Linked DNA regions of Schizosaccharomyces pombe. The gene in region 2 interacts genetically with the main gene of each other region. Each region holds a gene or a part of one and is shown on either strand. Other genes may lie near its edges.

What was found. Genes that interact genetically often act in the same process or in processes that back each other up.
Region 1: mutations in SPOM_SPBC577.03C (region 2) and mba1 together harm fitness less than expected from each alone (positive genetic interaction), as found in Schizosaccharomyces pombe (one large-scale study listed by BioGRID).

The regions. Positions count from the first base shown.
Region 1 is NC_003424.3:2,313,045-2,316,869, reverse strand, and holds mba1 (respiratory complex assembly protein), read right to left. Parts: upstream 1,770-3,825; 5' UTR 1,684-1,769; coding exon 1,521-1,683; intron 1,485-1,520; coding exon 1,271-1,484; exon of another isoform or gene 1,170-1,270; coding exon 737-1,169; 3' UTR 501-736; downstream 1-500. Other genes in the region: eki1 (choline kinase), read left to right, coding at 1-403; teb1 (Myb family telomere binding protein), read right to left, coding at 1,807-2,680, 2,739-2,821, 2,909-3,124.
Region 2 is NC_003423.3:753,911-758,488, forward strand, and holds SPOM_SPBC577.03C (GCN5-related N-acetyltransferase), read right to left. Parts: upstream 2,659-4,578; 5' UTR 2,374-2,658; coding exon 2,187-2,373; exon of another isoform or gene 2,114-2,186; coding exon 1,650-2,113; 3' UTR 1,275-1,649; coding exon of another isoform or gene 1,240-1,274; 3' UTR 1,061-1,239; coding exon of another isoform or gene 874-1,060; 3' UTR 745-873; coding exon of another isoform or gene 742-744; 3' UTR 501-741; downstream 1-500. Other genes in the region: rpl3801 (60S ribosomal protein eL38), read left to right, coding at 742-744, 874-1,060, 1,240-1,274; tho5 (THOC5-like protein), read left to right, coding at 2,750-3,063, 3,147-3,435; meiotic recombination protein Rec27, read right to left, coding at 3,656-3,836, 3,886-4,041, 4,092-4,132; 1-phosphatidylinositol 4-kinase Stt4, read right to left, coding at 4,498-4,511, 4,565-4,578.

The DNA.
Region 1 (3,825 bases), on a different chromosome or scaffold from region 2:
ATATGTTGAGCAATCCGCTGTCATTAATGATCTACTCGAAATTGAAGATGCTTCATTGTTGAAAACTGATATTTCCGACGAATTAAAGAACACGTTTGAAAAGCAAATTATGAACTTAGAAGAATCTGTTCGCGCAATTAGTCCTGCTGCGAACATCGGGTGGGCATTGTGGGGAATTTTACAATGCTTGGAAGAAGATGATGAATGGGAGGATCTAAGCGTTTCCAGCCAAGTTGCGGATCGACCTGAAAAACAGTTGGTTGAAGGTTCTACCGTCCCTCCTATTGGTACCTCTTCTTTTGACTATATTGGATACAGCTCTGAAAAATTTGATCTGTTTTACGAGGGATGTGCTGCCTTAGGCCTAAACGGTCGAAACCGTTCTACATTTTCGTATGCTTGATTCCTTTAAAAAATTTGAATGCAAATTTTCGATCTGTGAATTAGACGATTTGTTTACATGTGTATGTATGTATGTATGTATAAATACTTGTCTTTCGATTTACAGAATTGCCTTAGCGCTTCTGTACGACTCTTCTCATGTTATAAAGTTTATGGATATTTTTTGCGGCTTATTTATTATAGTTTTACGATAAATCTATCGGGTTTTTTTATCAATAAAGCTTTAAGACTTTGAAAAAAAAAATCTCATAATCAAAACACTTTTTCACCTAAGTGGATAATAATATAGTCATTAAATTGTTCTCGATGGATTAATTGTAGGGGCAGAAATCCTCTACTCCTTTCCGGAGAAGAGTTGTTTTAAAAACGATTTTTTTGACGGCTTAGCAACAAAAGTAACTTGTCCGTCAGGCAATGTCTTTCTTACTGTGTTTACCGGGGTCGATGGAACAGACCCCCACAATTGCCATCTAATTGGAGAAGTCCACGATCTTTGCTGGATAACAACATTCTCTATATCTGGCTTTTCAATCTTGGGAGAGCCTTTATCCGTTCGTAAAGATTGTAGGGTATGCAGCCGTACGACGGCTTGTACAAAAAATTCTTCGCCTTTCAAATCTGCTTGGGCACGACTCAAATTAAGTAGCTTAGGCTTAGATATGTGCTTTTCAAGTTTCCATATACATTTTGGCTGGTTTAGAGCTTGTTGTTTTAATATTTGAGCAGTTCTCAAGGTACATAATTCCTCTAATTGCTGTAAATCATGACTTAACAACGCTAAGTTAGCAAAACTGAAATGTGATAAGTTTAATGGCTAACGGAAATTCTAAAAAAAGCAAACCAATATTAACGTTACAGAAATACGTACTTAGCAAGTGCCTTGTTGACACCAGAATGAAGTTTTAAAGCATTTTGAATAATTTCGGCGATGCTGAAGTCACGGTCAGGAAAGGTACGCTTAATCAAGAATTGATTTTTTTTTAAATTCCACCAACCGTAGAACAAATATCTCCACCAAAAACGTATTTTTTTAAAAGGATGCAAGAAAAATGATGTATTATCGATAGGTTCAATGTAACATTCTATAGAGTCAGCACTATTATATACACTAAACATACGCAAAAACGGTATATCCATAGGCTTTAATGCCCTTTGACTTATTGCACGAGGAACAGCGCAATGGAAATATCGCAAAAACATAGGATTAACGTAGGTATTTCTGCAAGCGAAATTGATAGCGAACTGATTCACCCAATATTTCTGAGTTCTAAGAACATTCATATTTAAATACTAAAAATATTTAAAAAAACAAAAACAAAATTTAAATGAATAACGACATGCAGAGCGATGGATAAATGTTGTGAGTCAGAGATGAAAGGAAATAATGAGGACGGTACTAAATCACTATCCCCGGTTGTCCCACGGTATATCCTCGGATGAGATTCTAGGAGTCGAGGGCAAAGGTGGAAAAGTATTGAAATCAGTGGAATTCGGCTGCGGCAGAGTAGACGAGTTAAGCGTATTTGAACTTAAGGGAGGCTCCAAATGAAGTGGAGGTTGTTGAATTGAGAAGGGAAATGGTTGGACCGAGTTTTGCGATGTCGATGGGGATATAGGTAATGAAGGAGGTTGGCCTGCAGAAAACAAAGACTCATAAGGGTGAAATGATTGTAATGTGTGATTAAAGGGATCAGACAATGACTGACCCAGTAAAAAGGAATCAGTCGAGTAGTTAGGATTCCGTTGAGATGTAAAAAATTGGCTTGGTAAATTATGATGTGGCCAATCGAGCAGCTCGTCAGATGCTGGCTGCTCAGTGGTTTGCTGTGGTGATGCGTTAGGATTACTAGCAGCTACGGCGGCCACTGCAGCAACTGCTGCTGCTGCTGCCTCCGTTGTAGAACTATCGTTCGGGGTCGTAGCATCATTTACCATATTATTCTGATAATATTTCGATCTATTGCCTGGATTATTCTTAAGCTTAAATCCAGCAGCCGCATATCTTTCTGGGAAAGCATTCCGAAACCTATCCCTTAGATCTGTACTTCGACGATTTTGAAGTCCGAGATTTGCATCTTTACTAATACGAGTCCAGCAAGGACCATGCAGAAAAAAGCCCTCTAATAAACGCTCATCCTCTTCTGGGGTAAATTGCTTTCTCTCCTTTCTAGTTGATTTAGATAAACCTACCGTATGAGGGATTTTTTGAGGCCGTCCCATATGCGTTTTCGCATTGGGATAAAACTTTTTGTAATCTTCTGGTAAAATTGTCCGAAATCTTGCATATACCCATTAGCAATTGATTTAGGCAATGAAAAAAATTTGATCATGCATACCTGTCTTTTAAATCATTGGGAGAACGATTCGTAAAATGAAAACGTTCATCTAATAGTATTTTTTTCCAATTACCAACACCATGCTAGAGACGGTTAGTTTTCGAAAAAAAAATCATTTTTATATATTCAATTACTAATAAAAAGACAATGTCAGTATTGAATTAACATACAATTTGACATCCCCGTAGTAAATCGTTAGTTTCTTTCTCAGTCCATTTTACTCGAGGCTTTCTCACTTTCGTAGGCTTTCTCTCGAATCCTGGAACATCTTGAGCTACCTCCCTTTTAGAGGGATTTTCAGCTGCCAAAATGGACCCATTCAACAAGTCGACAGAATGCTCATCCATAAGATCTGATGAAAACCCTGGAGGTTTCATAGACCTCATGGTCAACTTGATTACAAAAGAGAAGTTACGATATAATTTTTTATGGGGTTTTTGGTTATGTACAAGAAACCTTCAACAATTCCCTAGTGGTGACTCTAATGTACAATTAGATGTTTCAACGCCTATATATATATGCAAATGCCAAGTCAGGAAATCAATAACAAGAAGTTCGTGGCCCCCACATTGGCCACCATAATGTTGAGGTGAGTAAACAAACCAACAATAGGTTAGCTAAAAGACAGTTGATACATCTTTATTTTTTATAAACATAAAAATCTTAAAAAAATACAGGTTATACTGAATAGACATACTCTGAATTGAACTAGCTTAACATTTAATTTTCAAATTCCAGAATGGTAAGATGTTTAAATAACTGACCAGCTTGTACATATAAGCAAAGTAGTAACTAAATGTAGTTAGTATATCAGTTTGGCCTAACGCTAATTCTTAATGCCGTAAGTTTGAAAAATATTAGCTATCTGTTTGTAACTAAGATTCATTTGATGCTTACTGAATAATTCGAATAAATCATGTGTACTTAGCATATGCCTTATTTCAACATTTTACCGTGATGTGGGATCGTGCTGATTTCTCATAGTTTATACACTAGGCAGGAACACCACCACTTCTTAATTCCTGCATCCACACTTTATCCACTTAATTATTGCCAAATTACCTAAATGAAATGATAATAAATGATT
Region 2 (4,578 bases):
AATTATTTTGACACTTGAAAGGCAATGTTTAAGCTTCGTTGGAATTTCTCATGAGTTTATTTAAAAGTCGTTTCCGTCGTGGAACAAAAAATTCGTATAGAAGCACGCTCATATAAATCAAACTTCCTCTATATGTAGTAGTTAGTATGCTTTATCTTTATAATTCACAAGAATGCTGCTATGTTGTTAATACTTTGTAGACAGACAGATAGAGCCTTGATCCACATTTGGATAGGATGAAAGCATTTTATTGTAAAAATCTATTTTTTCGCAATTGATGTAATATAGTTTTCAAAAACGAAGAGCATAAAGTCGTTTGATCCTAATAGAAAGATGTAAAAGATATAGCAAATGGATATGTAAATCTATTGAAAACATTTCTTTGTTGTTACACTTCATCTATCAATTTCCAAAAACATTATGCATGGAAAAATTAAAGTATTAACTATAGATTAAGATATAAATATTGACCATCTCTTATTCTATTTTTTTTTAATTTTATTATCACGTACACTTAGTATATACCTGAGCTAAGCAATTTAAAAAACGAACTTCAATCTAACGCCCATTCAAGCAGTATAGTGAAGGATAGTGTTAATCCCCTTGAGCGAATACCGGCTGATTAAGAGCTCGTAATTTCTTTTTAACGAGTTACAAACCATTCGAGTTGTAAAACACAGTCACAGAAATTTTGATAAACTGGAAAGAATGAATTCTTGGTCTTTCACCAAGCTCAACAAAATGGTAAGTGAGATAAGTAGAGGTTTCAGCAGCTTATGGAAGAGAAAACTGTTTTCATCTTTCGTTCGTTAAAGTTGTCTCTGTAAAATATATTCAGTGTTAGGAATGACCATCGACTAATGCATGTTTTAGCCTCGTCAAATCAGTGACATTAAGCAATTCTTGGAGATCGCTCGCAGAAAGGATGCTACTTCTGCCCGCATCAAGAAGAACACTAACAAGGACGTTAAGTTCAAGCTTCGTTGTTCCAAGTACTTGTATACCTTGGTTGTCGCTGACGCCAAGAAGGCTGAGAAGCTCCGTCAATCTCTTCCTCCCGGTATGTTATATAAACTACTAAGAAAGATTAACTCAGTTACTTTTTATTGAGGGAACTACATTTCCTTAAAGCATTTTGCGAAGGAATTCTTCCTAAAGCGTTGATAATTCGTGAAACAAATGATCAGCTCTGAGTTAATCGTTCATATAAGTGAACTCAAGCTAACAAGTTTTCTATAGATTTGACCGTTACTGAGGTTGGAAAGAAGGCATAAAGTTTCTGGTTGAGTGATTAATGAAAAAGAAACCTCTCATGGTTTTTGCATTCAGTTAAAAACAAAAATTTTCTTTTTCAAAAGTAAAATGATCAATAAAGATTGTATTCATATTATTTTGTAATGTAATGTAAAAATCGAAGAGTAGAAATCGGTGAAATTATCCAAGTTGTTCACGAATTTTATAAGCAGACCCAATTCGCGATTATAAAATAAAGGTCTGTATGTAAATAATTGTTGTTGCGAGATGAGAGGTATAATTAGCCATAGGGTTGTGTAGAAAACAATTTTTAATAAACCCTTTTAAAGTAGTTCGCTGCATGTAACACTTGCATAAAGTAAACAAGTAAATAACTTTAAGCGTTGTTGCATCGCTTATGAAGTCCTCATTAGTTCAAGCTCTACATGATCAAAATAAGCGTTGTACTTAACTTGAGAGAAGCCCAATTTCTTGAATAGCCGAATACTAGGCTTGTTTTGGGAGCCAACTTTGACTCGATACTTAAGGATTTGCTTATTTTTGGCAATTCCACTGGATTCAACATAGTGCAAAAATGCATCTACAATCTTGGTTCCATATCCTTTCCTTCTATTCTGAGGCTCTGCAATCATCAATTCAAGTTCACCTACTATATGTACCTCTGACTCCTTCGTAGCATTGGTAGCATTAGCATCACTGGGAGAATCATCAAATTCTTCTATACCGTCTGCGTATTCCTCAGTCAAAAACATGTTCACATCCCCAATCATTGATTCAACGCTGTGGGCTTTTACATGATCCAAAATTGAAGGTTTCTTAGCTTCATCGTTTTCGTTTAGTAAAACGATAAACGTCAGCTCTATATCGTTAGAAAATGATTAGAACTTGTGATGCAATTGATCAATCACGAATGTTGAACCATCATAACATACTATCTTCATCAGTACTCCATGAGGCCTGCATTTGATATTCTTCGTCAAGAGTTAAAGGCTCTGAACAAGTAAGCTCTTGCAATTCCTCATTTTTCATCCAGTTATGGTATTTTAACACATGGCATTTTTGATATGGCACGAGAATCAAGTTGCCGCAATCAACAGTAGTATTTTGATTAATTTTCATTGAAAGCACACTTTTTTTTACCGACTCTTCAATAGCCAAATACTCACTTATTCCAAATGTTTACAGTATCAATCAAAATGATACCGAACCGTGAAGTTGAATATATGCAACGGATAAAAAAAACGTGATTTGATGTTTAGTAAAATAGTTTTACGAGAACTCTGATTGAAAAGACATTCAACGAAAATCTCTCAAATATATACAATAAATTCAAGGCTCAACTTATAAGAAGTTAGTTTTAGTCAGTTAACCTTTATGGTAGTAAAGGCGTAGCTATACTGAGTTGACGAGTTAAGCCCAAACGTCTACTCTTTTAAACAATTTGGAAACCTCCTCCTACAAAATTTCCAAGAAAGAGTAGTATTTCGTCGTAAAAATGACAGAAAATGCAATATCAGATTGTTTGAACGTTCTTGACTCAACTCGAACATTGTGTTTGCGAATTCATGAGTTGAAACAGCATAGCAGAGATGCCGACGATCAAAATCCCGAGCAAATTAAACGACAGTTAATGTCAAAGCTCTTAATCTTGCGAGAAGCAAATAGAAAATCTTACGAACAGCTCGTACAAGCAAAGACTATAACAGCCGAACACAAGTCTGAACTCGATAACGCCCGTATACGGCTTCAGGCGTTACAGTACAAAAAGCTGCATTTAAAAACGATAATAAAAAATTACGAAGAAAAGGAGTACGTGAAAGTTCCTTACCTTTTTTTTTTTTTTTTTCAGATTTCAAAAGTCTTTGTTCATTTCTTTCTAACCATTTTAATAGACATATATACACAGCGTTACCACTCGTCTCAAAAGAAGAATTTTTGAAGGAACACCCGGAATTTAAGAGTTCGAATGATCATGATCTAATGCTTGCGATTCTTGAAGACGAACTGAAAGAACGTCAACGACTTTCCACCTTAAAGCAGGAACTTTTAAAGAGGAAAGCTGCATTAATATCTGAAAATAAAGCAAAGAGGAATGCATTGCAGAAAGGAGATGAAAAGCTGCAGACTTTCCTTCGCTCCAGCGTGCCTGTCCAGGAGTACTATAACATTACCTCCATGTAAATTATTCCCATGAAAACTTATGTGTTTATTCATTTCATTTACTACCCATTTTTTAGCGTTTAATAAAAAGAACGGATTTAGATTTTTAGAAACGATTAGCCTCACTTTACTTTTTCAATTCTCAAGTTTGAAGTTTCAATTAAATTGTATGCTCATAACATATTTTTAATTCGTTTTATGATTTTATGGCACTAGTTTATATAATGTGTTTAAAATGACTTTATACTTCTGTATTTGTTGGTTGGTTCATTGGGGTTTTAACAACAATTCGCAGTTTCTCGGCATACTGTAACAACTGATTGCGTATTTCGATTTCGAGTTGTTGTTTTCTAGCTTCTATAGAAAGCTTTTCTTCGTTCAATTGTTTAATTTGATTCGCTTTTTGTATCTCAAATTCCTTTCTATAATTTGATGTTAATGACTGCCAGGATTACCGTTTTATTTTCGTACATTTTCTGTTGAACCTGGGAAACATCCTTTATAAAAGCCTTTTTCTCATTTTCTATATTGGTCTTGTATTCGCTTTCAATTTGGTCATACTTTTTGACGCGTCTTTCAATGTTTTTGAGGTTTAACTCTTCCAAAACATGCTCAATTATTTCAGAGCTGATTTAATTAGTATACGTTTATAATTATTTTTCCCTTTACTTTCATACCTAGATTGATCCGAGCCTAATGTTTCTGATCTTTTCTTCATATTCGTATTTGTTAGAAGGAAAGTTACCATAATTTATTTATATCCTAGTAAAAAATGGCAGGCAGCAAATGACTCAAAAATACATACCTAGTTATTTGAAGTTGTTTTTTTTTTAAATTAACATTCATAAAGCCTTTACAAGAGTGAGTTGCCATATGCTAAAATATACAACAGATACTTGACAATGCGATACCTGTAAACGCGTTTCATTATTCAATAGTTAATGTGATAAATTATCGTACTACAATACAAAAAAGACATTGCAGAAGAAACTATTATGACTGAATGATCGTTATATTAGATCTAATAAACTTAGCTGCAAGGTACTTAAACGGATAATAATTATTATTGCTGGTTGTTTTATATTAATAAGGAATACCTTAAAAAAGTTAGTAATTAGTTGCTCATTTATATTGCTTAAAATCATCTTACCATTTGTGGCCTTC